Linked DNA regions of Coturnix japonica. The protein of the gene in region 1 interacts with the protein of each later gene in a pairwise test. Links are inferred from orthologs where the notes say so. Each region holds a gene or a part of one and is shown on either strand. Other genes may lie near its edges.

The links. The genes of interacting proteins can lie anywhere in the genome.
Region 2: the proteins of STAT3 (region 1) and NFKBIZ interact in a two-hybrid assay, tested with the Homo sapiens proteins (2 studies listed by BioGRID and IntAct). The link is inferred for Coturnix japonica from reciprocal best matches to the Homo sapiens genes STAT3 and NFKBIZ.
Region 3: the proteins of STAT3 (region 1) and BMX interact in binary tests that used the Homo sapiens proteins (3 or more experiments, as listed by UniProt). The link is inferred for Coturnix japonica from reciprocal best matches to the Homo sapiens genes STAT3 and BMX.
Region 4: the proteins of STAT3 (region 1) and BLK interact in binary tests that used the Homo sapiens proteins (3 or more experiments, as listed by UniProt). The link is inferred for Coturnix japonica from reciprocal best matches to the Homo sapiens genes STAT3 and BLK.

What each region holds. Positions count from the first base shown.
Region 1 is NC_029542.1:4,516,793-4,524,266, reverse strand, and holds the start of STAT3 (signal transducer and activator of transcription 3), read left to right. Parts: upstream 1-1,705; 5' UTR 1,706-1,833; intron 1,834-5,537; 5' UTR 5,538-5,556; coding exon 5,557-5,684; intron 5,685-6,166; coding exon 6,167-6,311; intron 6,312-6,448; coding exon 6,449-6,547; intron 6,548-6,822; coding exon 6,823-6,918; intron 6,919-7,011; coding exon 7,012-7,093; intron 7,094-7,474. UniProt on the Homo sapiens protein: Signal transducer and transcription activator that mediates cellular responses to interleukins, KITLG/SCF, LEP and other growth factors. Once activated, recruits coactivators, such as NCOA1 or MED1, to the promoter region of the target gene.
Region 2 is NC_029516.1:76,523,934-76,531,521, reverse strand, and holds the start of NFKBIZ (NF-kappa-B inhibitor zeta), read right to left. Parts: upstream 3,926-7,588; 5' UTR 3,813-3,925; coding exon 3,584-3,812; intron 3,065-3,583; coding exon 2,925-3,064; intron 2,325-2,924; coding exon 2,288-2,324; intron 2,162-2,287; coding exon 2,055-2,161; intron 1,939-2,054; coding exon 1,175-1,938; intron 737-1,174; coding exon 631-736; intron 307-630; coding exon 160-306; intron 1-159. UniProt on the Homo sapiens protein: Involved in regulation of NF-kappa-B transcription factor complexes. Inhibits NF-kappa-B activity without affecting its nuclear translocation upon stimulation.
Region 3 is NC_029516.1:109,894,458-109,901,973, reverse strand, and holds the start of BMX (cytoplasmic tyrosine-protein kinase BMX), read left to right. Parts: upstream 1-3,591; coding exon 3,592-3,729; intron 3,730-4,721; coding exon 4,722-4,826; intron 4,827-6,891; coding exon 6,892-6,973; intron 6,974-7,516. UniProt on the Homo sapiens protein: Non-receptor tyrosine kinase that plays central but diverse modulatory roles in various signaling processes involved in the regulation of actin reorganization, cell migration, cell proliferation and survival, cell adhesion, and apoptosis.
Region 4 is NC_029518.1:97,831,753-97,839,213, reverse strand, and holds the start of BLK (tyrosine-protein kinase Blk), read right to left. Parts: upstream 3,926-7,461; 5' UTR 3,761-3,925; coding exon 3,684-3,760; intron 1-3,683. UniProt on the Homo sapiens protein: Non-receptor tyrosine kinase involved in B-lymphocyte development, differentiation and signaling. B-cell receptor (BCR) signaling requires a tight regulation of several protein tyrosine kinases and phosphatases, and associated coreceptors.

The DNA of each region.
Region 1 (7,474 bases):
CAGACCTGGTGTCAAGAACGCCTGCCCAGCCCTCAAGGCCCCGATTCCCTGCGCCAGGCTGAGTGTCCCTGCAGACAGCAGGATGTGTGGGATCCAAGCTGCCGCCCGAGGAGCACAGGGTCTGCAACGCACCCCAGCGTGCGGGAGGGAAGAATGGAGCACATTCAATGGGCAGAGTAATGGTGAAGCTGAGCAGCCACGTGGCACGCAGACGGTCTGCTCCATTCTTTCCTCCCAGGTCATTGTGGCGGAGCCAGGAGAGCTGTGCCACAAACCCAACCTGCTGCTGGGACTGCGGAGCCCCCACAACCTGCGCCTGCTGCCTCGTCCCACACTCTGCCATCATGGAGCAGCTCGGGTTAAATCCCAGCTGCCTGAATTCGGGCTGGGCAGGGAACGTGCGGAGCTGGACGCTGCCCCCCACGACCCACACGTGCCACCACGGGTGGGCAGCGAGTGCACACGGCCATGGAGGGGGCGGGCGTCTGTTCCAGAGCAGCCCACGCCAGCCGAGCTGCCTTACAGAGGAGCCTGGGATGTGCTGGTGCTGTGGGAGCGCCCGGCTGGCAGCGAGCAGCCCCGACATCCAGCACATCCGGAGCGTTTCGGAGCGTCTCCTTCCTCCAGGGGTCCTGGCGCGGCTCCGGCTCGTGCCCACGTCCTGCACTTCCCCCCCCCCATTCTCCCCATTTCCCCTCTCGGTGCCTTCGCTCTGTTGCTGTAGTTTCACACGCGGCACCGCCCGGCTCAGCCCGCACCGCTCTCACACGCAGCCGCCGCCGGCAGCGGGGCAGGAGCGGGCAGGAGGCTGCGGCCCCACGGCTGCACGTGCGGGATGTGGGTGCGCGGGGCCGGTGGGATGTTCCCGTCCCGTCCGCCCGGCGCTGCCCCACGTGCCGTTTCCTTCTGGCCCCGCTCCGCCCCGCGCAGCCGTGTCCGCTGCCGCCGTACCCACGTATATAAACTCGCTTTTCCTCTCTGACCGTTCTCCCTCTCGTTGTCTGACGCCCCGCGGCGCTGCCCTGTGCCCGTGGCTGCGTGTCCCCGTTGGCGGCGCCGTGTCCCGCTCGGTGCGGCGGAGCTGCCGCCCGTCGGTCGCAGCGCGTTGGACAAAGCTCAGATTGTTTTGTATGACTGCATCCTGGTGAGCAGCACAACTAATAAAGGCTGTTTTGTAACGGAGCAGCATGGCGCCTGCTGAGCAACGGGACGGGGAAACGGCCTGAATCCAGCACGGGGTGGGCTGGGGTCGGACAGTCCGTACCGGGGGGTGGCCGTGCCCGGCCCGGAGCTGCGGGATCCCATTGCTGGGAGGGGGGGGGGTGTCCCCGCAGCGCGGACCGGGCGGTGCCGGGCGCTGACCCGCATCGCTCCGCGCGGGGCCGCTGCTGCGCTCCGGGAACATCGGGGGGTGCGGCCCCTTTAAGAGGCGGCGGCGGTGGCGGGTCGCGCGGTGACGTCACGGCGCTGCCCGGAACTCAGCGGGTTTCCCGCACGGCTGTTCCCGGCAGTTGCCACCTCCCCCCGCGCCGCCCCCTGCCCAGCACCGCCCCGCGGCGGGAGGCGGCGCCATCCGGGAACAGCCGGCGCGGGGCAGCGCCCCCAAGCGGCGCCGTCGCGATCCGTGACGTCACCTCGGGACGGCCGCGCTGATTGGCTGTCGCGGCCCGTCCCTCCCGAGGCGGACGGAACGCCGCGCCGCCATTGGCTGCGCCCCGCGTGACGTGAAGGGGGGCGGGGCCGGGGCTGCGGGAGCCGCAGTCGGGAACCGGGAACCGACCGGAGCGCGACCGTCAGCGGCACCGGGAACCGCCGGCACGGCCGGAACCGACGGTGAGAGTGAGATGAGTTATGGGAAACCGGGGAACGGAGCGAGAGGGAACGGGACGGGACTGGGAGGGAGCGGGGGGAGCGGGGCCGGGCCTCGGGTGCGACGGGCCTCAGCACGGGACGATCGTGGAGGCCCCGAAGCTGCTGCACCGACAGAGCCCGGCACTGAGCCCCGAGCGCGGGGAGCTGAGAGCGGCGGGACCGACATGGCGGACACTGCGCCGGGTGCACGGTACAACGCCTGGGCTGGGAACATGGAGCTGAGCCCTGCGGTCCGGTGTGTGGCAGCGCCGCGCTGTGCCGGGCCGTGCTGTGCCGTGCTGTGCCGTGCTGTGCTGTGCCGTGCTGTGCCGTGCCGTGCTGTGCCGTGCTGTGCCGTGCTGTGCCGTGCTGTGCCGGGCTGTGCTGTGCCGTGCTGTGCACTTTGAGAGCCAGAGCACAGCGGGGCAGGTCGCTGCCGGGGCTGGGCTGTGCTGTGGGGGTGGCTGTTATCGCAGCGGAGCTGCACCGTGGGCACTGAGCCCCGTCCAGGTGGCTGCAGCGCTCTCAGGGTGTCTCAATGTTCTCCCTCTGCTCCCTCTTCCTGTTGGTGAAGCCCCTGTAAGTTGTGTCACAGGGGGATGCTCTCAGGTACATCCAGGCACACAGAGCCCATCGTGGGGCTGTTTCCCTCAATGGCAGCACTGCTCGATTGTGGCTGTTGGGGTACGTGGAGCTGTGGTGCCACTGCTGAGCTCAGGCTGTCGTGCTCTGCCCTTGCAGGGAAGCTAAAGAAAGATGAACTTTAACTCTGGGGCTACTTTTAGCCGCTCTGCTCTGAGCTCTGCACAGCTTGTTTACCTCAGCGCTTGCGTCATGCTGTGCTCAGCCCCGCTCACATCAGTTGCTCTTTGGCTCTTCTCCAGCAGTGAGAGATGAACCACGGAGGCAGCAAACCCATCAGCATTGTTAGGGCTCAGCCCTCAGGCTTTTAAACCTGCCCCGGGAGCTTCCCCACAGCAGGATGGGCTGCAGAGGGATCTGTGTTGGGTTTTGGGCTGGCGCTGTGGAAGGTTTCATAGAGCAGGTGGTCAGGGGGTCACAGAGCATTGGGCACCACTGGGAGGGGTGAGCTGCAGTGAAGGAGGAGAATCCTCTTCCTGTCTCCTTGCTGCTCCCAGACGTTCCCTCCCTTTCCTCATCCTCCTGTGACTGATGGGTTGGCAGCCGCCATCAGCCGCTGCAGCAGAGCTGTCCCACTTGGCGAGAGCCCATAGCGCAGCACATTGTGTGGATGCTGTTCACAGCCCTTTTCCTGTGGTGGCGTGGGGGGAGTTTGTAGGTCAGGAGCCCATTAAGCTGAGGGGCGTAAAAACTCAATGTGGTGTTTGTGTCTGTGCTGATATCCCTGGAGAAAAGGGCTGAAAGGACCCATGGACCAGCAAGCAGTGAGCGCAGCTCAAGGCAGCAACCATCCCCACGGGCTGCTTCGCTCCCACAGCACTGAGTCCTTTGTGGTGCCTCTTATTGTACTGTGCGTATGTTCTGCAGCCACTTCCTTCATCACTTTGTGTGCCTGCGCTGGGAGGAGATGCCTGCAGTGGGATGAGGCTGAGCAGGTTGTTTTGCTTTGTGCAAGTTCTGTTTTTCAGGGATGAACGTGGCTGAGCACTTTGCAGGGCAGCTGCTGCTCCCTGGGCTGCACACAGGGTGGTGTGCAGGGACTTCTCCTTCAGTGCTGTACGGGTTTGGGTTCAAACACGGCCCAGTGAGACCCAGAGCAGAGCTTTGCTTATGGGAGACCTGCTTGGATCAGGGCAGTGCAGGGCGGGAGCTGCGGATGTCGGTGGTTTGTGGATTCTCAGCTCTTGGCTGTGTGTTTCTTGCTTCATTTCCCCCCCATCATGTTTCACACTGTGCTGGCAGCCTCTATAGCACTCAGCTAAAAGCAGTGTGAGCACCTGGGAGCGCTCCCTGTGCTGTGCCTGGTGAGCAGCCATGGGGTACAGCAAAGGGCCCGGCCTGTCGTGGTGTGAAAAGAGAAGTCCTGGGGTCACACACGTGTCAAACAGAGCCGAGTCTTCCCTCCAGTCTGACAGAATGTCTGTCTCCTTACAGGCTCCTGTTTCTCCTCCTCCCTTTCACCTATTGCTCTGTTAAATCCAGGCTTTGCTCACATGATCTTCTCTAGAGATTGCACCAGGCTGTGGTTCAAGGTTAATGTCCTCTGGATGCTGCTGTCAGCTGGGCTGCGCAATGCCACAAAGCTCTAAAAAGCAGCTTAACTCCTTGTCGGGTGCCAATCAATGTGTGTCATCTCCCCACGTCTCATGGTGGGGCTGATTCCCCTTTTTCTCCTCTAAGAACTATCCACAGAAATAGAGGAGGGGTCGCATACAACAAACACCAGCTGCTCTGGGGGGGACCCGGGGCACAGAGCTGTGGCCCCCACATCTCCCCCCCAGTCAGTGCCCATCTCCAGTGCCTCTGGGACAGCTCTGGTGTCAGCCATGTGCCAGCCCTGTGCCTCCTGCTGACGTGTCACTTGCTGGGGTTGCCTGCAAAAATCAAACCACTTTCTGGGGGAAGTGAGCCCGTGGTGAGGCTCAGTGGTGCTGCTGTGTCTGTGCTTCCTGCACAGCTTGCTGTCGCTCCTTCGGCTGACTCTGACTCCTATTGATGTGCGAGCCGCTCACTTGAAAATTGCTCCTTCCTCGTTTCTGTTGCTTCCTGGCAGTCTCCGCCTTCCGCACTTACTGTAAGCGCTGCAGCTCCTTCCCTGCCCTCGGGAGCAGGCGCAGGGCTGACTGCGGGGCTGCGGAAGGGGCTGGCAGCAGATCAAAGCCCCGGCCCCGCTGCTGTGACCTGCATGCCCGAGCCTTTCACTCTTCCCCCGGGCACGAAGGTAGGAAAGCTCTGGGAAATGGTGCCTCTCTAGGAGGAAGTTTATCCGAAGGCAGGTGCTTGGGAAAGGTTTTTTTTCCAAGGAAACCGAGCGAGGCTTTGTGCCTGTCTGTGTCTGTGACCATTCTGGGGGTTCTTATGGCTGAGGTCCTGCTTAGGAATGGGAGAGGCTGGAGCTGGGCAGCCAGACACACTGCTCTGCTCTCAGATGTTTTGGATTAACTTTGAAGGGAGGATGAGTCAGGATCCGGGTGTTCCTCAGCTCCAGCTGGGGCAGCGCAGTGGATCTTGCCCTGGTTTTGGGTACATTTCCAGCCTGGAGCCCTGAGCAGTTGCATGCTGACCAATCTGCTGCCCACACCGACTCGTGCCCATTAGTCCCTCAGTGGCAGTGTGCTTTGGGTCTGTGGTTCCACCTCCTCTCAGCACAGGTGACAGTGATGGCAGCAGTGCTGAGCTGGGAGCTGACAGCTGCTTGTTGTGGGAGGGTTTCCTCACTGTAGCTCGGCTGGGAGCTGGAGGTCAGCGTTGTCCCGGGGCTCATGGCAGGGCAGAGCTTCCTGCCTCTGGATTGTTAATGCAGGAGAACTGGAGCTGGCTGTTGGCTGCGTGCTGAGCATCAGGTGGTGAGGGCAGGTGGGCAGGCAGCCCTCTCGCTGCTGGATCAGTGCAGAGCTCAGCCCCGTGGGCACAGCCCAGCGCACTGCAGCCTTGTAGCCCTTCCCTGTTTCCCTTCCCAGGGTCAGCCTGAGCCAAGCCGTGTGCTGTGCAGGGGGGCAGCCTGTGGGCTCAGGGGCGCTGTGCTGACCTGCCTGTCCCTGCAGGGTTCCGGAGCCGGCCAGGATGGCGCAGTGGAACCAGCTGCAGCAGCTCGACACGAGGTACCTGGAGCAGCTCCACCAGCTTTACAGCGACAGCTTCCCCATGGAGCTGCGGCAGTTCCTGGCCCCGTGGATTGAGAGCCAGGACTGGTAAGGCACTGCCCAGCTCTGGCACATGACTGCACTTGGGACCCCCAGCTGGGGACAGCGGCAGGTGCCAGGCGGCTCTGGAGGGACTCTGCCAGCTTCTCTGGGTGCTGGGTCTATTCTTCCTCCTTGCGTTGCATGCAGTGTGAAATGGAGTGGGAGTCTGTGTGTTTGGTGTCAGACCTCAGACTGGGAGAAAGGGGAAATCCACAGCAGAGGTGTCAGGGTTTACGTCAAGCTCTGTTCTAAACAAGGTTGGAATTGAGGTGCTTGTGCCTGCTGTCTTCCAGCATCTGAAACACCTCTGTCTCCCTGCTCTCATGGGAGCAAGGCCAACTGTGGCTGCATCCTGATGTAGGTTAGGCAGTCACTGGGATGCTGGGCTGTGTGTGGGGCAGCAGGTGTTCACAGAGCTGCCCTTCCTGCAGCACTGTGCTGTGCCTCCCCTGGGCTGGGTGTAAGGGCTCTGCTGTCTCCTCATGCAGGGCATATGCTGCCAACAAGGAGTCACACGCCACGCTGGTGTTCCACAACCTGCTGGGGGAGATTGACCAGCAGTACAGCCGCTTCCTGCAGGAATCCAATGTCCTGTACCAGCACAACCTGCGGCGCATCAAGCAGTTCCTGCAGGTGAGGTGGGAGGCAACATTCTGTTACTGAAGTGCAGTGGCCTCCTTGTCACAGCTCACAGATCCAGCCCTACAGCACACAGAGATCCCAGCAGTTATAGTTTGAAGGCTAACCCTGAGGCCTTCGATGTTTTATAGAGCAGATATTTGGAGAAGCCGATGGAAATAGCCCGCATCGTGGCTCGCTGCCTGTGGGAAGAGTCACGGCTCCTCCAGACAGCTGCCACTGCAGCCCAGGTAGGTGACTCAGGTGTCCCTCTGCCCACCCAGCAGCTCTGCAGAGCTTGGTGCCATCAGGAAGCTCTGGTCTGAAGCTTCTTACATGTTTCTTTCAGCAATGGTAGTTCAGAGGGGTGCTCAAACTGCAGTGAAGGGCAGATGACCCCCAGCTCTCTGGGGTGCATCAGTGCTCTGCGCTAAGTTTGTTTGTTTGTGTAGTAAAGGGTTTGACTTTATGCAGAACTTCCTGAGTTACAGCCCAGTTCTGATGCCCTCCTTTGTCCCTTCTACAGCAAGGGGGACAGGCGACACATCCAACAGCAGCTGTAGTGACAGAAAAGCAACAGATGCTGGAGCAGCATCTGCAGGATGTAAGGAAGAGAGTTCAGGTAAGTGCTGCCTGGGCACCTTCTTCCCCTGGTACTTCTAGGAGTGCTGTGGGGATGTTGTACTTTGAACAAATCCCATCTCTTGCATTGCAGGATCTGGAGCAGAAGATGAAAGTGGTGGAGAATCTCCAGGATGACTTTGATTTTAACTACAAGACTTTGAAAAGCCAAGGAGGTATTAAAGCTCATTAGCATCTGGCAAGCCAAAGTGTGTTCCTGCAAGGAAACATGCCGGAGGGTGTGTTCCAGCCCTCCCAGTGCCTCCTACCCAAGCTTGAAGGGTGGGTTAGTGTTAGGGCATTTGCATGGCAATTGGAGATAGTGACAGAAACAAAAAGAAGCTGACAGGGCCTGCAGGGGATCCAAACCTGAGCTTTGCCTGTGGAAGGAGAACTGCATGAGAAGGTGATAATGCTGCTGTGTATGCAGAAATGCCAGAAAGGTGCTTGGAGGCAGAGCTGTCAAAGGCTGAGATCACTGCTTAACTACTGATGGCTTCCTAGAATGTCTGCTCATTTGTAGTCAGCTTTGTGGTCTTTGTGATGTTTGGGAGGGT
Region 2 (7,588 bases), on another chromosome or scaffold:
CAACCTCACTTAAAACCGTTAACGTAGAGTCTAAGACATATCAAAATGCAGCGCAGAAGAAAGATAAGAAGAGGCACAGTATTTTTGTAGCCCTCCCAAACTGCTAATCCCAAGTTAAGAACTATGGATAGGGCAGAGCTATGTCTGCCTCATTCTCACCTGAAGGACCTGGGCATGCCCCTTCTCAGCACAAACATGCAACGGTGTTCTACCCCAGCAGTCTGTGGTGTTGACTTGAGCCCCCAGGCTAACCAAATCCTGCACAATGAGATGCTGGTTGGCAGCCACAGCAACCTGGAAAGCGCTCTGCAAACATTGAGAAGAAAATTTCAACTATTAGTCATCTGATCTCTAACAGGAAAGAGCAACTAAAACAAATAAAAAAGCCTAACTACCCGGTGTTATTTAAGCAGTGATTATGAATACCAGGAAGCCAGGACAAAAGTCGAGTGTATAGTGTTACCAGCTCAAGGTGATCCCAAGAAGTATTAATAGCTCAAGGTTAATATTAGTATGCAGACTAAATCTCGGTGTTAATATTAAATAAGTGTTTCACCACATTTTCCTCGGGGTCCAGACATCAGAGCACTCAGGTGCACAAAGCGGGTGGGAAGAGTTTGAAAACCTCACCTGGCCATTGTGCTCTTTAATATCCAACATATGCAGAGCAGCCATTTTCCTTGCAAGGACGTAGGAGAGAGCTCGTCGGCCCTGGGCAACAGCAATGTGAAGGAAGCTGCGGAAAGAGGGAAAACAATTAGATAACCACACTGACTAGGGCTCAAGTCATCAAGCGATTCCAAACGTACATTGTGGGAAGGGCTTTACACTGTCAGCTTCAGACTTCATCTGAGTGACTAAGATGGATACTCAGGCACCTTCCTCCCAAGGCAACTTAAAGCATCTAAAGTAGAATCTTTTTTCCTCTCAATTTACCAGATAATAATCTAATAAATACCTGAAATGAGATGATACAACTATCTTATCTACTTACTATGCTGCAACTGCGTGCATCACAGCCCATCAGCAAGACCACAACTGGTGAAACCACTGCACTCGTGACACAAGCAACAGTAACAAACAGCTTCCACTAAAACTCAGTGGTCCACCAAAACCTGAACAGAAGTGTTCTCCAACCTTTTACTTCAGAAACAGTGAGATAAGGGCTACTCACGTGTCTCCATCCGAGTCTTTCGCGAGGAACTGGTCTTGAGAGATGTTAGCCAATTTGTTTTCCTCCTGCTCCACTTGCCACTGGAAAAACGACTTGCCCAGCTGCGTTGTGTTTCTGGCAACACTTTGGGGTGGTAGAGAGACATTCAAAGTGGCCAAAGAGACACTGCGTTCAAGACCACCGCAGACATTACTGGGAGCCAGGCTGAAGTTCTGAGCATGAGGGCTGACGTTAGCCTGTGGGTGGGCGCTGGTCAAGGACTGGAGGGGAGCAGAGATGTTCTCTGAGCCTTCAGAGTCATTCAGGAGGGAGGAGAAACTTTGCGACGGGCAATATTGCAGTTCATGGCTCTCGTAGGCATGCTGGTGGTAGCCTGGAGACTGGTCACTGGCAGAAAACGGCCTGTACTCCAGAGATGCATCCGAAGTGTAGTTCTGTGACAAATCCTGGCTCTGCGAGGAAGGAAACTGGTAATGCTGAGGCGGATCGAGCATATTCTGAGAGGTGTGATCTTGGAATGCTTGGTACTTCTGGGGTGGGGAAAAAGCCTGCGTTCCAGGACTGTCGTGGTATTGCTCGCCAGGTGAGTTGTGGCTGGAGACACCATGCAACCAGCTAACCTGCACTGTATTCAGGGAAACAGGGCTGGACTCGTTCTTAATGTTTATGATGTTCTGAAGCAGATCAGAACTGCTGTCATGCTTTGGTTCATTTTTATGCGTTTCTTCCACGTTATCCATTGAGGTCGGGGTCTGGGGAGGTGTCTGTCAGAAGAAGAAGCAAAACAAGCCCCACAGAGTCAGAAGTCTTGTTTTAAGACATCATTTCTGGTTACAGAAAAACAGGCAGAGAAAAGAAGAGAATTCTACTTCAAGCTTACCAGGAGGTGTGGGTGAATATTAACTTGGCGTTTGAAAGGAGGTCCATCAGAAAGGAGCTCAGAAGCCTTTCTTTTGCCACCCTGGCCTAGAATGCTCTTCAACTCTGCTAAAATAAATAAATATCTCAATAAATAAACGCATTTAAAACCCTCTTAGAGACTGCTCTTACAATCTATTCTTAAAATACTATTGCAGGGTATTTAGAAACGTTCAGGTGTTTGTTTTTTCTTACCTGTGTAGGGTTCGTAGTTCACCAGTCCTCCTTGTGCCTTTTGAGGGGGGGGGGGGGGTGGAAAGAAAAACAACCAACAAAAACAGGTTATTTGATCGTTATCGTGCTATTCCAAAGAAAACAAAACAAACAAAAGCAGAGCTTTGCTTCTATAAGCACTGAATGTGTCTTAGAATAATCCTAGCACAGGGCAGTCAAACCCTAATTTAATTGTTTTCAATTGAGGTTAGGAAACATAAAGAGTTTTATGCAATTTAAATGAATACCAAGTGTGTTTTTTTTAATGAAGGCTTTTTTAATAAGCTATTTGTTACAACACCACAGAACTCATGAAAACGTAGAGGAAGACAACATTTCCCCAGTGAGGTCTCAAGATTTTGCTTCTCTCTTTAACGTAAATAAGGCTTCCCATTTTCTCTGTTTCTCTGTCTGAGGTGCCCCCCCACCCCGCAGGAGCTGTCGCACCCATCTCCTCCCAGCTCAGTCCTTCCACAGCATGCATTGAAAAGGAAGAATCATAACTCCATCCATAACAGATAACACCAGAAATGCGACAACTGCTTTATCGTGTGTCTTCCTTCACCAACCTCAGTTCTGGTTAAACCCCATCGTATCAGCCCTGACAAACGCTCATTACCTTGTTTTCGTCCGCAGCGGGGCCCGAGGACATCTGCTTACTGCTCCTGAAGTGCAGCAGGAGCTCCTTCACCGAGTTCTTCACGCGGACCCCCTGGAACGGCCCTCTGTGCTGTTTTCCTCCCCCCATGTGCTGCTCTGCTGTCGAGAGAGCACAAGGAAGACGGAGCTTAAGCCGCGGGGTCGGCATTCACAGAATCACAGAATGACCCGGGTTGGAAGGCACCTCAAGGATCATGTAGTTCCAACCCCCCTGCCTGGCAGGGCCACCAAACATACACCTTTACTAGATCAGGTTGCCCAGGGCCCCGTCCAACCTGGCCTTGAACACCTCCAAGGACGGGGCATCCACAACCTCCCTGGGCAGCCTGTTCCAGGACCTAACCACTCTCCTAGTGAAGAACTTCCCCCTAACATCCAACCTAAATCTTCCCTCTTTCAACTTAAAATCATTTCCCCGTATCCTGCTATTGTCAGCCCTTTCGAAGAGCGGCATTCACGAAAGCAGACGAGCCCGTGGGAAGCCACCCGAAGTCGCAGCCGAGAGTCTCCTCCAGCTTCACCGGCCCAGCGCCCGCAGACGAAAGGTCGGGAAAGAACCCGAGCGCGGAACCGCGGCCGCCTCCACGTCCCCTCCCCGCAGCCCCGGCCCCGCCGTACCTTGCAGCGCGGGGCGGGCGCCTCCCCGGCCGTCCCTCCGGCCGCCGCCGCGGCTGCTCACCGAGAGGTCCGAGTCGGAGCCCGGCGAGCCCGGGGCGGAGTGAGCCGGCGAGCAGCTGCCCTCGCTGGAGTGGGGCGAGGCGCCGTAGAAGTAGGCGAGGTTGATGGGGCTGCTGAGCGCCCCGCCGTCGCCGTCGGGCGCTGCGTCCCGGCTGCTGTCCACGATCATGGCGGTGCCGCGGGGCGGCGGGCGGCGGAGAACGGCGAGCGGCGGCGAGGAGACGGGAACGTCCAGGGCTGAGCGAGCGACGCGGACACGGGGTCTGACGGGCGGCGGCAACAGCGCCGAGCTTATAGCGGCTCCGCCCCGACGGCAGAGGCGGACCCGGGCACGGGCGGAGCCGCGCTTCCCGTAAGGGCGGCGGGGGGAGGCGGGACGCGGCCGCGCCCGGGACGGGGCTGGGGCACGCAGCCAGGCAGAGTCACCCCGCAGCGGCTGCCCAGCGGGGAGCAGGCACGAAAGCCGCCTTGTTTTCGTGCTGCGGTGGAGGCGGAGCGCAGCAGAGCGCGGAGGTGAAGCTGCGTGGTGCCTGTACTAAGCACAAGCGCAATCTCGCACTCGCTTTTAACATCAACCGCACCGGTCGGTTAACTGTATTCGCAGGGCACACCTGTCCCATTTCTGCCTCTCCAAAAGGTGTTTCTGCTGCCTCAGCTGTTCCCGTGCTCACCGTCGCACGAACCCGTGTTTGTCCGCAGCAGGTTGTGATTAGGATGTTGTTAGCGCTGCGGCTGCCCCGAAAATATGCAGTAAAACACCACTGTATTTCTGAAGTATATTATGCAAATTGGAGGTCTGTAATTTAGGTTATTATATGTGTTTTAATTGTGCTAAAAAAAAAAAAAAAAACATGGGGCAGGTGCAATGTGAAATTATATTAATCAGCTGTGAGGAGGCAGGAGGGAATTGCTTTGTATTATTCAAACGTTTTGTCCCCTGTTGAGTGAGGAAAGGGTTTCACTTGGCAGCATCTACAATGTCCCACTGCAAAAACTCTGCTCTTAAAGATCCCTGACCTCTAGGACACACTTTACACACTGATGGGAGGATCCATAATGAAGCTTTCTGTTAACAAATCTGACTGATCTATCCTAATTTGCACATCACTGCTCCGTAGATGGGAAGCAAATGGTTTTTAGTCTGGTCAGAAGGGTCTCCAGCTCATCTTTTAACTAACAATAATGTGAATCAGAGAAGTATACAGATGGAAAAAAAACACCTAGATTTAGTGTCACAGTGGTCTGTAATTCCCTTAGAAATGCCAAGGGTAAAAGTGGATGTCAAACCAGAAGTGGACTTCCCTCCTCTTAATTCTGCTGGGTCACGCAAGGTCCTTAAAACACATACAGGCAGAGTGAGCAACTCCCTTATCGCTGCTATTCCGTCATCATTTTGGATCTGACTTAATTGAGGATTAGCCTCTACACATAAACAAAAGTATCCTATGAAACAACGTAACAAGCTTTTTACCTTGATGCTGTGGAATTTCTGTTCTATTTCAAAGCTGCAAGTACTGAAGGCTGAATTATTGATCTGCTCCCACTGTACCACGCTAAATCCACTTCAGGTAACGCTCCGACACCTTAGATCTCACGCGTTTCATCAGCAATGTCTCATTTATCAGGTCTCCTGACATAAATCTCTGCTCCCCATCAAAGCAGATTAAGACAAGTCTAAATCCACCAAACTCTGTTAACAAAAGACTCTTTCAAAAATACACACACCCAATGTTGCACAAGATGAGCCGGCTCCCGACAACCTCTCAAAGCGCTCCATGCGAGTTACTGGCAAATTATTGCTACATTTACAAATTGTAATTATTAATACTGCAGACCTCGAACGTTTCTCTTGGCTCAACCACCACGTAACATCTCTGGTGACCAAAGCTCCAGCAGATGTCTTCAGCCTAAGGAAATTCCTGCCAGGCAGGGTAGCAACCAGAAGGGCTCATCACCTCTTCTCCTGCCAGGAGAGCTGGCAGAGCCTGTATGGACAGCCACGAGCTGGGAGGAGAAGGTCAGCAGGGAAGGAGCTATGAAGGTGCTCACCAGGCAGCTTCAGCCAGCTCTGGCTGAGCAGTAACCCTGCAAAACCCCTGGAGCTGCAGAGCCAAGAGGCCTGTGTATGGGGTGGATGGCTCAGCTCCATAAGCAAAGGCCTCCAGGTTCTCATCACCCCTCCTCTTGTTCACTGCGATGTATCAATAATGCCAACTAGTGGCCAATATTAGCAACATTTGTCCTGAAACCAGTCTTGAACGGGGCAGCAAATAGTGAGATGCGCTTATGTTCATATCTCAGATCGCTGCTACAATGAGACGCAATGTATCGGTTTTCAAATCAAAACCTCAGCTTCTGCCCTCGCTGCCAATTAAACATGCAGATTAATCACTGCTGCCTGTCTCCTTGTTGCTGTCTAATTCAGAGCCAGCACTGAGCCAAGACACTCCAGAAATGCTGTCCTGGGTTTTCCCATGGACAAGGCCTGTTCTTGACACGAGAAAACAGCTGACCCACTGTCCAAAGTTGAAGCAGATCAAGAAACCTCTTCAGTGCTTTTCTGTTAAAACACATTTTCACTGTTTTCAACACCCTTCCTAACCATAACCATGAGGTTTTCCCTCATTTCTGGGTCCTGGTGCTGAGAGTAACACTTTAACGATGATAACATAACCTCAAACCAAGAGAGATTTTTTTTCCTGTCCAGCTTTCAACCATCTCTGGTTTATCCTTCCTCACAAAATGCTTATAGCCTGAGCTGGAAGGGGACTTCCAGACCATATTGCAGCATGGCATTCAAGAAACCAGAAGGAAATTTTCTGTGAAACCACCTCAATACTGGATGGGGACAACTGTTGCAATGAGCTCTGCAAGGCCCACAGCACAGGTAATGGAGGGGATCAAGCACTCCCAGCTCTTAAAAACCCAGGCTGCACAGCTCAGGTAAAGGTTTGTGCATGCTTGTAAGTTACTTCCTCCTAACACACTACATCATCATCCTCTTTAGCTTCATTGGTAAGTGATTACCAATCCAACAAAACCAGCCCCTGCTTTTATATGGTCAAACAGTGTGGCCCCACAGCATACCGTCATATCCTGGTCCCAGGATTGGAAACAGGGCACATCCATGTGCTCAGTTCTGGGATCACCAATTCCTGAGGGTGAAACCTGGGCATGGTTTGCTCTAGGACTGCTTCCTACAGGCAGTTTTACGGGCAAAGCTGTGCTAGGTTACCTCCCGCTATTTTGAATGACTCTCTAAAAAGCATCCTTCCTCATCTTCCCCCTCAGAAAAATCCCCTGGAAGCTGTAGCTCCACATCACATATGCAGCAACAACTTGTTAGAAAAGCAGTACTGTGTTGGCGGTGATGTGTTTTTTCAGGCGCTCAGTGTTGAGAAGGGAAAAAGAAAAACAGAAACAAACCAAGCATGGAAAAATATGTCCTGAGGAGGCCACACGGGGCTCAGAAGAGATCACAGCAAAGGATTATGCTTTATAAATACGGCCAGTCTGCATAGCATCTGTGCCTGCACTGCCTGGTCCCTGGGGCACACACTGGGGTGAATGCAATAAGGGATATCGATTTCAAATAAATCAACCCCAGAAAGCAGAGCTTTGCTTTCACCGTACAGCAGTACACGGTTGTCTCTGTCAGATATACAGCCACTCCTAACACACAAGGACAGTGCCAGCCCCCAGAGCATCTCACAGTATGGTGGGAATGGGAGTGGTCTAAAGCCTCCTCAGGCTGTCCTAATTGGCAGCACAGAACGACACAGAACAGCCTTTAGGTAAATTGGCAGGGACGAACTAATAGTAACAAGAATTTGGTTTTGCAACCCATTTCTGGAATCGTATGACCTCGGTGGTATTTCTTAAACTGAAAATAAGAATGGTAGCTTACTGTCCAGTTGCTTAATGCAAGTGAATATTTGCTACGTG
Region 3 (7,516 bases), on another chromosome or scaffold:
AAATTTGGTATTATTCAAATCTTTTGTTGTTTCAGAGCTCCAAATGAGCAGCTTACTCAGCTGAAGTAGCTAATGTGAAGGAAAGGAGCCCCTCTGAACCTGCAGAATGCCTGTAAAAGGTACAGTATTTCTGCAAAGCAAAATGGTACTTTTTCACTTTTTACAGAGATAATCCCAGCAAAGCTCCACAGTGGGGCTGAGGAGTGTTTGTGTGAGAGTGCAGACTCCAGGTTCCTCAGTGACTCGCAGCTCCGTACAACGTGTTCCTGCTCACAGAATCACACGGACCTCATGGCTAAGGCTGAGTCCATCAGGCCCAGCCACTGCCCACTGCATGACACCTGGAGCAGAGTGCCAGGCCCATGTTCAGGAAGCTCTTGGAGATCTCCAGGGAGGAGACTCCACAACCTCTGGGCAACCAGGGCCAAAGCTCATTCCTTTTCTGATAAACAGAGAGGGACAGGAGCCAGAACCTGAGAAAAATACAGAATTACTTTACTATTAAGCTTTTAAGTAAGTTGGTTTACTTCATCCTGGAAAAGGGATACATTTCTACTTGGCTGGCAATAAGAAAATCCACTTTGCCATCAGTTCTGAGCCAGGAATCATACTTCCAACAAGCTTGTTTCCCCAACCAACTTTGCCAGCTTCTTCTCCACACTTGTTCTGTCTCAACTGCTGTTCCTTTCCCTCTTAGTTATTTAGCTGCTCACTTTTCTCTGCTGAAGATAAAAGATACCAAGAGGGAAAGAGCAGCAGCAGTGGCTGAGCTCAAGTACCCTGAGCTTTGCATGCTGCATTAAAGCTTACCATTAGAGAATACCTTTCATTGACCACAACATCCTAATCGCCTCTCATGAGAAGGTAATAGAAAAAAAGTGCTAGAGCATGTTACTCTGACCTCCAGTATATTCTCACCCTTTTTGCTTCTTTATTGCTGAATCCAGTTCTGATAATTTCTCAAAACAGCCTTTCTTCTGAGAAAAAATGTGGTTTCTAAGACTTCAAAAATCTACTGAGAGAACAAATTTTTTTTGTATTTGTGACTTCATTGTAGAAGGCAAAGTAAATGCAATAGCACAAGCCTTATGGGGAGCAGCTGAGGGAATTGGGATTGTTCAGTCTGGAGAAGAGGATGCTCAGGGGAGACCTTGTTGCTCCCTACAGCTCCCTGAAAGGAGGTTATGGTGAGGTAGGAGTCAGACTCTTCTCCCAGGTAACAGCAATAGATTGAGAGACAATGACCCCAAGTTGCACCAGGGAAGTTTCAGATTGGATTTAAGACAAAAATTCTGCTCAGCAAGAGTGGTGACAGGCTGCCCAGAGAGGTGGTGGAGTCACTGTCCCTGGAGGTATTCAAGACCAGCATGGATGTGGCACTGAGGAACATGATTAGTGGACATGATGTGATGGACTGATGGTTGTACTGGATGATCTTTGTGGTGTTTTCCAGCTTTAATGATTCTATGATTCTATGCACAAGCACAACTCTTTTTAACACAAAGCAGCAAATTTTAAGCATGAAAATATAATCAGATATCCACAAATCCTTCACACCTCTTCAAACCATACAGAACAAATGTCTGTGTCTAATCCCATACAGATTTTTCTTCCAGAGATGTGAGATTTCACAGTTGAAAGAAATGAGCTCCGTCCATGAAAGAGGGAGGACACCACACTTCACAGTTCTCTCAACAGGCAGACACTTGCACAGAGCACAGACCACTCTGTAGTCTTTCTTCCCAAAAGCATTCCCCCTTAAGCATGACAGAGTGCTCGGTGCAAGCAAGTTGTAGCTCAGCACAAGAGTCTTCTCACAGAGGAGGGGCAGCTTGGGCAGGGAAAAGGCAGAGCAACATGTTTTATTCCTGCAGCAATAATCTTGTTTAAAAATATATTGAATGTTTTATTTGGCACAGTTTCAGTTATTGTGATTTCTCTTCCACAAGTAGTAAGAGAGGGGCATCGCGCAGTGGATACAGACAGGAAGTCGTTTAGCTGTCAAGACTTTCTTTTAGAGTTTAAAATTGTTTCCTACCTCAGATTGTAATGAAAAGTCAGAAGCTGGAAATATATATATATTTTTTTAAGTACAGCCAAGGCACTCTGGTAAGGAAGTGACTTGCACATATTGCATACTGCTTTTAAATAAATGATCTAAAATTCCATCTAACTCACCTATTTTTTTCTGGCCTAAAATATCTTCGTGAGCTCCATGAACTGCAGTGGGTTGGAGCTCAAGATTAGATGCTTTCCCAGTATAAGGAAATGAGATGGCATGAAGTTAAGAAAAGTAGTTCTTACTGTAGAAATGACAAGGTTTTTATGCCTTCTAACCAACCTAATATTTTCATTGCAAAGACAGCTTCCCTAAGCTACTCTGTCTGAACTAGTATGAAGCTTGTCACTAGTGACTTCTACAGTCAGAGCAAATACCTCCCCTGAACACAGCAAAAATACCTAAAGTGAGGGGGAAAATTCATTCTCTTCTCCAATGCAATTTTAATCTACCCCAGCCTTGTCACTCCTTCTGATGTCACATGTCAAATTGATCTTATTCTGACCCACCAGGAGGACTAATATGCATTGCCTATCCAAAAGGGAATTGATAGTAGGTGTTTGTAGGCATTCTGTCCACCCGCACAGAAGGCAGCCAGAGGTGTGAAGGCATGTCTCATAAAGCTCCACTTTTCCTCTTCAGACTGTTCCTAGTAGATAATTGCTGATTTCTGGGCTCAGTTAGGTTTCAGTGGATACATCATGTGGGTATGATAAGCATCATGCAAATATTCTCTTTCTGCTGTGTTCTCTGTGGTGAACAAGGGTGCACATAAAGTGCACAGCCTAGTAGAACACTTTTCTTTGGAGCTCCAGAGCACACTTGGCAAAGGATATTTGGTCTTTATACTTCGGTAAGATAACCTGAAACCATACTAAGTTTATAGAAAGGTTGCATCCTTCCTGGTATTTGCTACTTTATGATAATCAAGGTTAAGAAAAACACATTTATGCATGTACTTACATGTGGTGCAAGAAGATTTTTACTTACTGATCTTTTCTACCTTTCACCATTCCATAAATGTGCATTTGTTACAGTTGAAAGAAAGAAATGGAAAATTTCCAGCTCAGGGAACAAACTTGTCAGCACTAGGTCTGTTTTTCTAGTCTGTACATAGAAGGGCTTTCTTTGTTGTTGTTGTTCTCTTTGCTGCTGTAATGACTTCCATAATATGCTGCAGATGTAATACATTTGTGCATAGACTGTGCTCTTTGCCAGATAGTGTGCATGGCTTTAGAAGAAGAGATGCTCAGACAGTGAAGTAACAGAAGTGCCTTATTTAGAAATACAGTATATATTTATCTTCATTTTCCTATAATGCGATTCTTTCCCCTGAAGAATAAGTTAATCAAACTCATTTGTTTATGCAGTGTTAAATACATGCATTGTAACCATGTATTACTATAGATTTCAAAACACATATAGAAGACAATGACTCAATATATTCTTTATTACTTCTTCTACAGTTGGTGCTGTCATATTTATCAATAGTGATAATAAAAATTCCTACAATGTTCTTTTAGGGAAATAAAATGGAGAAAAAGATCATTCTAGAAGAAGTTCTTTTAAAGAAGTCACAACAGAAGAGAAAAATGTCACCAGCTAATTACAAGAAAAGGTTGTTTGTTCTGACAAAAAACAGCCTTTCTTATTACGAATACAGCAAAGAGGTAAAAACTCATTTTCTTAAGTAAACTATTCAAAGATATTCCAACCATCACCTGATTCTTCTAGTGCAAAACTTGATTAGAAGCGATGCATTAGAAAAGCAGGTGTACTCTGTTTTGAGTAAAACTGGAAAATTAGAGGGTTACAAATTCTTTTTTCAGTTCAAGAAATCACTTGGCTGCATGCTTAAGAGCGTCTCTATTCAGAACAACTTAGAGCTATGTTTGCCATTGAGCATCTGTTTGCATCCTTTGCAAGACAACAAAACTTAAGCAAGTAATTAACTGTGGCATATGTTTACATATTGTCTTGAATAGGGATGAATAGGGATGTTTTCCTCATTCAGGCCTCCCTCTGAAGTGATGTAAATAAGTGGCTTCAGAAATTACTTGTGTGAGGCATAATTAGTTCCCAATCTTATCCCTCATTCGTATAAAGCAGATGGTTAAGCTATCGATTTCTAGAGACTGACTGTGCATCACATGAGGGTAGATTTCACTCAGAAAGTCTCCTGTTGGGAATGCAAATATATTACCCTGGCAACTTATTTCAAAGTTTTCTCTCTTTTTGTGTCCCTCTGGTGAGTTATGTTTCATTAGGATCCTGCATGGAAACCCACTGAGAATATGCTCCTGCACCTTAGCAAAAAATACAGATGCCACAGCTAGGCTTCTGGTTTGCAGTTCAAGTGTCTTCCACTTAATTCCTCCTTCTTCTTTCTCCTTTCAATTCCCTTCTTCAGCTGTACTCTTACAACTGCAGCAGATGTTTTCTCAGATGTAGGGCTGTGTCCTGTAATTTGTAATTGACTTTAAAAGCAATTTTGATTGGTATATAAATGTGGTTGGGGCACCAAAATTGTTTTTTGTTACTATTAAAATTTAACAACCTTGAAGCTATGGAAGCTGGAGACATGAAATTACACAGAACAGTAAATCTAGAATGCTCCATACTGAGTTAACATTAGGTTACAATCTGCTTTATTTTCTCTTAGAAAAGAGGAAGGAAGAAGGGGTCTATCGAGATTGAGAAAATCCGATGTGTTGAGATGGTGAATGTTGAGGAATCAACACCTCCTGCAAGACAATATCCTTTTCAGGTTTGTCATGAAATTTGTTTCATGTTCGTTTCATGTGAAATGTTCAAATCATCCTAGGATTTCACTGATCACTCCTGCCCCAGTTGCCAATACCTGCTATGGCTGGTTGCCATACATACTCCCTAAAAATAGAAAATCTGTCCTTATTACTCAGGTCGTGACCTTGTTAAAATGTTTTTACTTGGTTGGGATAAAATTTGGGTCTAGAATTTTTTCTCTTTTGTTCAAATTTCTATCATATTTGATTTAATACATAGATCAATACACTTATGTGGTTATGAAATTTTTAAGGCATAATTAGGGACTTAAAAAATCTCATTTTAACTCTCACTATTGCCTCTCCCATCTTTTTGCCCAGTGTCAAGTTGAGGTTTTGACCCAAGACTGCCTGATTACTATTCTTAGGCCTCAGTCTGTAAATTCAAAGCTATGCTTTGTGCATGTACCAGAAAATATAGCTGCACAAAGCACTGTTCAGGAATTAAATAAGGAAACCGTAACTTCAGATTTGTTGCTTTTTATCTCTTTCCCCAGCATGTTCTCCCCAGAGCCTTCATCTGTATCAGTTTTCTGAGCACAGACAGGCCGTAGTTCCCCTTGGAGTACCACCTGGAGCAGCACAGCCACCAGCAGCAGGCTGCTTGATAGTGTGTTAATCAATGACTCTGCAAAAATTGCCATGGCCAAAGGCATCCTCTTGAGAAATGCTCAGGTTTTCACTTCCTACTTGCTCCTAACCGTCATTCCTTTCTTCCTTTCCCTTCTGTCTCACCACTTTTATGGCAGGGAATGGTGCACTTGTCTTGAATTATTGTGTTTATCTCAGGAATTCACAACTCAGAGAAGTGGGAAGAATACACACTGCAGTCACAGGATGGGGTCTCCATTGTGGGAAACTGGATCTCTGAAAAGGGGGTTAGGATTCTGATAGCTGATTTTCACCAGTTCCAGTGTGATGCTGTGGGCAAAGGAGCTAATGGCATCTTTAGACATTGACAGAGGCACACATTGAATAAAAGCAAGCAGGCTGTACTGCCTCTGTTTTGACAGTACTGTGAACTGCAGGAGAATACTGAGTCTAGTTCTGGTGGCTCTAATTTAAGAAAGATGTTGCAAACTGATGGGAGGTCAGAGGGGAGGCTTCAAAGTGTCTAGTGGATTGGATAACATGCCTTAAAGAGAAAAGCTCACAGAGCTCCACCATTTAACTAAAGAGCCAGAAAATGGATTGATCAGCCTGGTATGTTTACGAGACAGAGTACACATTTAATGACAAGTGCTCTTCAGTGTACAAACAAAGCAATAAAGCAATACTTGAAATGCATTGCAGATGACTGAAAAGCAATGTACACAAGGGAAAGGAAGCCCTGGACTTAACACACACACTCACACACACACAACCTATACTAAGTATCACCCAAACAGCAAAGCAGATGCTATTAATTATTAGGTAGGAATGAAATGAAGCTGGCAGAAAGTATGTTGAACACAAGAAAAATAAGCTGATTGTTCATATTGTATAGCTAATTTATTGGGTTACTTGCTGTGGGAAGTTGTAGATACTAGTTACTTGCTTTCAAAGACAGCTGAACTAACATATCCAAGGCAACAGAGTATGAATGCATCACCTTTAGATCAGAATTCCCTGATCCAAAACTGCCCCAAGCTTTTATTCTGCCTCAGTATTTGTTTCTGAGTACTTGGAGACAGGCACTGGCCTGTCTAACAGCAGCCAGAAGCTGGAAGAGGAGTCTGGAAAAACTGAAGTGGAAAAATGAGTTTCTTTGTGAATTGTAAGGTCTTTTGTATATAGAAGACAGGTCTATCTATAAATATTCTATGCTGCCCCTTTTGTCTTCAGTGGTTCTTTTGGATATGATCCACAGTGGTTAAGGTGGTATACGCAAGGCTTATGTGATGACAGTACCATATACAACCTCCAAGAAACATTAGTAAGTTGTAGAAGTTTGATATCAGAGAATCTTCAAAGCCTAATTTTGGTTGCCAAGTTTTGGCATAAAGATATTGGGTCTCACATTCTCACCATGCTGGCAACCTCTTCCAGATTGTGTACAAAGATGGCCTGCTCTATGTCTATGCACCTGATGAAGAGAGACGGAACAAATGGCTCGCAGCTTTGCATAGAGGTAACACTAGCCCTTTGTGTGCCAGAGTATGCAAATAACCAAATAACTTCAGGGGAGATAGGAAAGTACTCTGCTCTATCATTTTATGCAACTCATTCTCACCTGTTCAAGTCTTACTTGAAATCTGGGTAGTTGAAATGCACTGGTATTTTCAAGTATGTTTTCATCATATGTTCCAACCAATGAAAGTTAATAGGGTTTTGATATACCAAAGTAAAATCTTTTGAAATAAAATTTGTGACGAGTAAGATTGTGTGATAGGTTTGCAATGATTATGCCTTTCAATAAGTGTCTTAAAGTACTGGTCACCAAAGGTGTCTGATACTTTCTGTCCTCTATTACATGTTCAAAAAATTTAGGGTTAAAAATGGGTCAGCTCAAGATATTTGGAACCCTGTCCAGAAGCAATCAGTTTTTAAAGTCTCACTCAGCTCATCCTACATTTCTTTTAGCTGTCTTCTGAAGCAAAAAATGCTGTTATGACTTGCAGAACTAATATACCACTAGCACAAAAATTGCACCAGGGCTAGTTCTGTAGAGTAA
Region 4 (7,461 bases), on another chromosome or scaffold:
TGGTATCCAATGAGACGATCCTTCACATCTGAAGGTCCTAGATGTATCATCAAGTAATGCCGCAAACAAACAGTGGCCAAAACAGAACGCTGCTTGTCATCTCCCAGCACACTGCTGGTGAAGCTTTCATTTGTTTAATTTCTTTTTGACCCTCGAAAGAAGGTGGCTGATGGGAACACACACTGTTCAAAGCATTACTGCTTATGGTTAATTTCTTTTTAAATCAACATTGCATACAAAAAAAGAGAGAAAGATTGAGAAAAATAACTAAAAGTAATTAATTGCCCTGGCATTTTATTTGCTCTTTTTTGTTGTTGTTTTGTTTGGTTTGGTTGTTTTGTTGGTTTGTTTTTTCCTGGAGGAAAAGAGTGCTGAAGAGAAAATAGTAAGTCAGAGAAACATGAAAACTTCCTCTTCACCCATCTAAAAATGTTTGTCTATGGGGCTGTGAGCAACCTGGTTTAGAGAGAGGTGTCCCTGCCTACAGCATGGGGTTGGAACTGGATGACATTAAAGGTCCTTCCCGACACAAACTATTTTGTGACTCTATGATTTTTAATAACTGAATGAGAGGAAATCTTTCTTCTTTCTAACAGTCATTGAGTACAGAGAACAAAATTATTCATCGCATTGCTAATACTCAACCAAAACGTTCTCGCGTTCACTCTTTTTTTCACTCATTTCCTCAAGTCTACTCAAGTTCAAAATCGAGACCATTATTTATTTTAAGAACATCTTTTTAAAGCAACCAGAATTCAAAACCGAATAAAAGTATTTGATGCAATGCAAAATGTTACAGATGTCCAGCTCAGTTGCTGGTATATTTTGAGAGAGTCAAGTGAGCCCTTGCTGAGCAAACTGAAAGACACGGGACGGTGAGCTCTGTGCAGCATCCATCTCTGAACAAATGCACAACACACATGCACATCACATACATGTTGGATGCTTGGATCAGACAGAAGGTAATTTTAATGGTCTTTAGAGGGGACATTTTGGCTCAAGAGAGCTGGATGCAGGTACAGATGTTCCTGAAACAATGGTCCAAGGGGGAGTTCTGAAGATCTCATCAGAGCTCAGCTCAAGCAAAGCTTCCATTGACATCTGGGTGACAGATCTGTGGTGGAGAATCAAGGATGTGACTGAAGGCCCTATCAGTGCCCATCTTGGAAAGGGTTTGGAGAACATGTCCTACTGGAACAAACCATAAAGCTGTGCCTGAAGCCCCATTAAAGAGTCCAGCAGAGGTGAACACAAGTCTTTGCTGATCACAAGCTTTGGAGATCTGCCTTATCTCAATCCTCAGCCTTCTCAGTGCCTTACGGTATCAAGAAAACAAGATAGTGACAGAATGGACCTGCTGTATGCACACACTCTGTATCTGTTGTAGCAGATAAGAATAGGACAGAGGTACCTGTGCTAAGCCAGGTGCGGCAAGCATGACCTAATTTTCCTATCCTCATTATGATAAGCAATCCTGCATCATAGGCATGCCATCTCCTGCACTTGGCTTCTTTCTGCTACCCAAACAAATGTTGCTTCTGATGTGAATGCAGTAATGTCTTCTGCAGTGGGGATGTGGATAATACAGATGAACAGCCTTGGGATTGCATGGGCGTGCATGGGGAAACAACAAGACCGAATCTTGCAGAAAAGCAGAAGTCTCAGCTCTTTATTTGCCTCACCCCCATGAAACTGTGCCATGGAAAAATAACTTATGGCCTGAGCAAGCCAATAGTGTTTTACTTTGGGGGCAGCTCCAAAAACCCCTAAGAATGGTGAGATCACAAAATGAGCCCCTTTACGTTCAGACTTCAGAGGGGGTCCAACAGAGTGTTTTCATAGGTGACCAAGATTAAATATTTCACTTTGTTTTAAAATATCAGAGAGTCTTTCTTAAGAAAATGCACTTAAAAGGAAATAATAGCATTAAAAACAAAGAAACAAACAACAAAAAAGCTATAAGAGCATATTCTAAAAATGAAGGGTCTTCAGTGCTGAAGTTCTCTTTCTCCTACCAGAAAGGATGAATGAAATCATCTCACTTCAGATACAGTGATTTAGTTATGCCAGATTCACAGTTTTGCATAAGTGAGGAGAAAAAAGATCAGTTGAAATTGCCCCCCCCAGATCTACGCATGTCCCACATGCATTAAATACTACAGAAGCTTTCTTCTCTCTGAACAAAACAGTTCATCACATTTCCAAACTAGGCAACCTTGGATTGCTTTGCAAGACACAGCACCAAAGAATTACAGAAGAGCTTGAGTAGATCAGCCACACAAATGGGAACAAAGAAGCCATCAAAGCCATCACTACTGTGACTGCTTTCCAGTTTTGCTGGGGTTTGGTAAATATGTTTTTAATGCTATGTTTAAGTGTGTGTGATTAGCGGGTCTGTTGCTAGGAGGTGGTTAGAAGTCAAAACTGAACAACAAGAACTGTGCTGTGCTATAAACAGCTTCAGTCCCGCAGAAGGTCTGCCTCAGAAAGAAGGTGGTGCACACAGTGCTGCGTCCCCAGCTAAAGTCATGATCACCCCTATGACCAAAAGCTGCTACTCACTAGGAGAGACCAGAGCGTGCATAGAGGAGTTAGAAAAGGAATGTAGAAAGTAGAGCTGGAGAGCACAGAGCTGGGAGCATCATGGCCTTTGTTGGAGAGTGAAGTAGATGCCTATGTTACGTGTTGCATCTACACAAAATCACAGAAGGCCTGGAAGTTTCCTATTGGTAAATCTCAAACAGTTCAGGTTGGATGTTAGGAAACATTCCTGAAATAGTGGTGATGCAGTGGCACAGCTGCCCAGGGAGGTGGTGGGGTCACCATCCCTGGAGCTGCTCCATAACCATGGGGATGTGGCACTGAAAAACATGGTCAATGGGCATGGTGGTGGTAGGTCAGCATCATGCTTCATGATCTCAGTGGTCTTTTCCAACCTTCATGATTCCGTGAGCGCCCTTTCAAGATGCTTTCATCATGAGCTCAGCCCCCATGTTGTGATGGCCAGGTGGGGATGGATCTACAGGAGCTGACATCCTGCAGCATGGAGATGGAGGTGTGTCGGAGAAAGGAAGGAGGACAGGGCCAGGAGAAGCACACAGAACTCTTAGGGTGCCAGGAATGTCTCTGGGGCTTACCATGTATGAGGGATGTTATCACAAAGCTGCATTGCTGCATGACAATTTCTGTTGGCATTTCCATCCAAAGCTTGTTCATGGGCTATGGGAAACTACATCTCCAGCCCTTCTTCTGAACACCTCTGATTGCTTGGAAAGCCAAGTCAGAAACAGCTCCTGAGCTCAAAACCCTTCCCCTGCTGATCACAGCAGTGTCCAGCTCCAGCCAGCCTCCCCCACATTTACACTTCGATCTCTTCCACCGCAGGCCCTGGGGGATGGGGAAGCAGGGGGATGGGAGGACCAAGGTACACACACCTGGCACTCATTTCTCTCTTTTAGCTGCAAACCAAGGGAAATGCCTCCCTGAAAACCACCCCTTGGGGCTGGATTATAGCAACCTTTGGTGCTGCTCCCATCTTCTCTCTCTGTCCTATGGATCGAGGGGGAAGGAAACATGGCAAGGAGATATCAAATGAAAAAGGAATAGGAAAGAGGAAGAAGGTAGAAGAAAGCCTCTACTAACCTCAGGGAAACGTTCAGAGGGATGAGATGAGCCCTACTTGCCTGTTTCCTATGAAGCTGCTCCTGGAGACCCGACCCGATGGACGAAGCACTGGTCCGACCCATGACCGATGCTCCATGGGGCTGAGAGCCTTCAGAAAGCTTCCCTGCTAGAAATCCCTGGCTCACACCACGTCCCCACCATCCATAGGGCTGAGAGCTCTGAATGTTGCACCCCCAGGTATGCAAGGAGCAGCCTGATTTTGTGATCGCGTTTAATGGACTTTCTTTTTTTAATCACGTCTCCGTGTCAGAACTGACTCCTTTCTTCCCTCAGAGGATTCCTTGCTCTATTTTAAATACTGGCATGATCCATCCGGGAGGGGGGGCAAGTTGCACTTCCCAGACAATCTGGACAAAATAGCACTGAGGAAGGCGAGAAACTCAGAGAGAACCCAGGCACAAAACCCAGCAAAACCCGCAGGCTATTAACAGCTGTCATTAAAACAAGCTACGATGATGGTGAATGGGTTGTGTTTCCACTATGCAAACCACCAAACTTTAGGAAACAGCTGAACAAACGGACTTTGCAGTGATTAAAAACAGAACGAAAAAAATAATAAAAATATAAAAGACCTTTTTCAGATGAAATGCCTTTTGTTCCAGGGAGCCCCAACCCTCTATGAACCTACTCAACCATAGCATTGAGGGGGCAACACAGTCTAATGACGTAGACCTGGACAGGGACTTGTGGGTGACTCTGAAGAAGTGACTTTCTCATTCTGCCTCAGCACGCTCAATAGGAAGGCTGAAATTTGTCTGTTTCTCAGGAGACAACTGTTGTATAAGGAACAAAATTTGTTCCCACTGACTCCTGAGGCTTCCCATAGGGTGCCTAGAGGGATTCTTTCTCTGGGGTATTTTCAATGTGTTTGTGGAGCGGACTTATTGGGCCACCGTTTGTTGTCTTTAAGCTGTTGCAAGGACAAAGTCCCCCCCCCACCCCAGAAAAAAAACACTGAGTGACCTCAGTGGGTTGTTGCATGCTGTGGTTTTGTAGCATTTGGGTCAGCAGGAGGGAAGGGATGCTGGGTCTCAGTGTTCTTGAGGTTGGAGAGACCTCATGCTTTGTAGTTCAGCCGCTCTGACAGGGAAGACAAACGTAAGCTGACATCCGCTCAGTGCAGTGCACAGCCCCAAAGTCACCCTCATTCTGGTGATGTTGTTGGCAGAGGAAAGGCTTCACGGGGCAGTTTTGAGATCAAAGCAGAGGACCCTGAATGGCTGTAAGATCCAGGGACAGGACAGGGCTGGCTGAGGGCTCAGTGCTGTGCATGTAGAAGCATGGAATCATATGACCACATGGGGAAGTTGGTCCAGGATGCAGGTGCCCATTGCCCCAGTGCTGCTCATGGGCATTGCCTCTGCAAGTGATCTGTGCTCCTGGCAAAAGGAGAACACCCAATGGAGGGCTGCAAGTCTGCAGGACCTTAGGCTGAGCCTTAAGTAGGAATCTGTGAGTACTTTATCTTCTCTGGGGCCATTAACAGATAGCTGGCAGAGGCCAAGGTCAGCGCGGGTTCTCTCTGCAGACAACCAGGGCAGACACCCACCCAGCTGCCCCCAGCCAGGTGTGTGCAGAGCCAGGCTGGCTGTTTGCATACTGAGGAGATGCAGAAATGAGGAAGCCCTTGCAGATCTGGCAGACTTCTCCCTCACCAGCTTGCATTCTGCTGTCCCCACTCTCCTCCAGCTAAGGGCAGAGGAGAGGACATAGAGGCAGAGGGGACTAGGTTGGGGCTGGATGTCAGCATCAGGGCTAGCAGGAGCACTTTGAGCTTTTGGGAAGAGCTTTACTCTTTGGCAGAGAGCTCATCTGAGGTACCTGACTGCTCTTTGCTAAGCAAGCTTCACTTCCTATTCCTACAAAAAAGGAAGTTGCTTTTTTAGAAGGTGGTTTGCCATCCACCACAGAGGTAGGAAGGAGAAGCTGCCATGAGGTGCAGCAAAGGTTTAGAAATAAGGCTGCCAAGTCATCTTGGGAAACAGGGCTGCAGCACAGCAGCTCCAGACAGAAACCTGCTTCTGATTTGAGACACATTTCCAATTCTGGCAATGGGGAAACCCAGCAGCCACAGCCAGGACGCTGTGCAGACCTCTCCAGTCATGGACACATTTAAAGCAGCTCAGAGAGAGAAATTTAAATAAGCAGAAGAGGTAAATCTATTGCTCCCTAAAATAACCTGGATGTGATACTGGCTGTTACCTGCAGGTCAGCCCTTCATCTGTTGCCTCCAGGGTAAGTTGCCCACTTACCATGTCTGTCCCTCACCTCCATGGTTCTTGAATAACCCCAGGGGCAGTGACTCCACCACCTCAATGGCTCTGTAAGAAAGATCTCAAGGACCTACCACTCCAAATGACTAATTTAGCCTAGTTTATCATCTGAACCTTCCAGCTTCCGTTTCCCTGGCAGATTAAAAGCTAATTTAATGCAACATAGTGCTGCTTGATGAAGATGCTGATGTGTGATCAACAACCCTTCAGCCTCCATTTTCATAGGAGCCATAAGGATTCCCCAAGTTGGAATGGACTCACAAGGATCATTGAGTATAACCCTTGGTTCCACACATCACTACCCAAAATCCAAGGCAAACTCCTTGTTAGGATTTTATGGGGCTCTCCCTTGTTTAACTTGTTGAATCATGTGTGAGCTGCATGGCTACCCCAAGGGACGGGGATGAAAACATAGCAGTAGCTTTGGCAGAATCTGTTCTCCTTGCACCCGGGAGCCTGCCCATGTGGGACAAGATCTCCTCCCCAGCCCTCCCTGTCAGGCTGCTCACATCATGCTTGTTCTGGTTATTTGCGTCAGCTGAGACCCCGACTGACTAGTATTCTCCCTCTGGTGCTGGAAACAAATGAGAATTTCTAATGCATGTTTGCTGTAGTCATGTCTCAAAGAGCTGCAGACTTCTTCCTCTGCGTCTCGAGTGCTGAAGGCCAAATACGTAACAGACAACTAGGAAAAAACTCTGAGATAAATGTCAAGTAAAAGCTTTTATATCGATTTCTCCTTTTGGTTAACATGGCCTTGGTTCTCCCTCCTTCCATCACGTGTTTCTGACAATGCCTTTATGTTTCCACAGATCACATTTAACCTGTATTCAAAGCCCATTTATTGCCATAGAATGGCTTTGGTTGGAAGGGATCTCAAAGATCATCTATCTCCAGCCCCAATTTTGAGCTGTTCTGCCTCTAATAGTTGGTTTCAAGCCATTCATTTTGAGCAGTTATTCACATAAATACAGAAGACATCATGGCTCGGGTTTTGGGTAGGCACCAACGTGACCTGAGGAAGGTCCTGCAACATCTTATTTCTTCTGCCCACAGAAGGGTTTCCCTTTTCCCCACTCCTTCACTGAGAAGCAGGTACCCCTTTATGGAGGCAACGTGTGCAATCTGGTGGTCCTTCACCACTTGTCTCCTTTACCTGGGGAAGTACAGGGTCTGAGAAAAGAGCAAACTATGATCTTCTGTGCACTAGGATATATCATAGTGCAGGAAACGTGGACCCTGGTGACTTGGACAAATAATTGCCTCATTTTCTACTTGGCCATAAAGACCATAAATGACACCAGGAGTTTGTGTACCCATCCTCCAAGAGTTGCATATCCAAGTGACACAGATGCCCCAGACAAATGAGTGATTTCTCACTCTTCTCCTCTCATCAAGGAGGCAAAGGACTCATTTGTATTTCTGCTCAGTCTCCTACGTGCCTGTCATGCCAGACACGAAGGATCCTGAGCGCTGCTTTTTGATCAGTAACAGATTTCTCTGT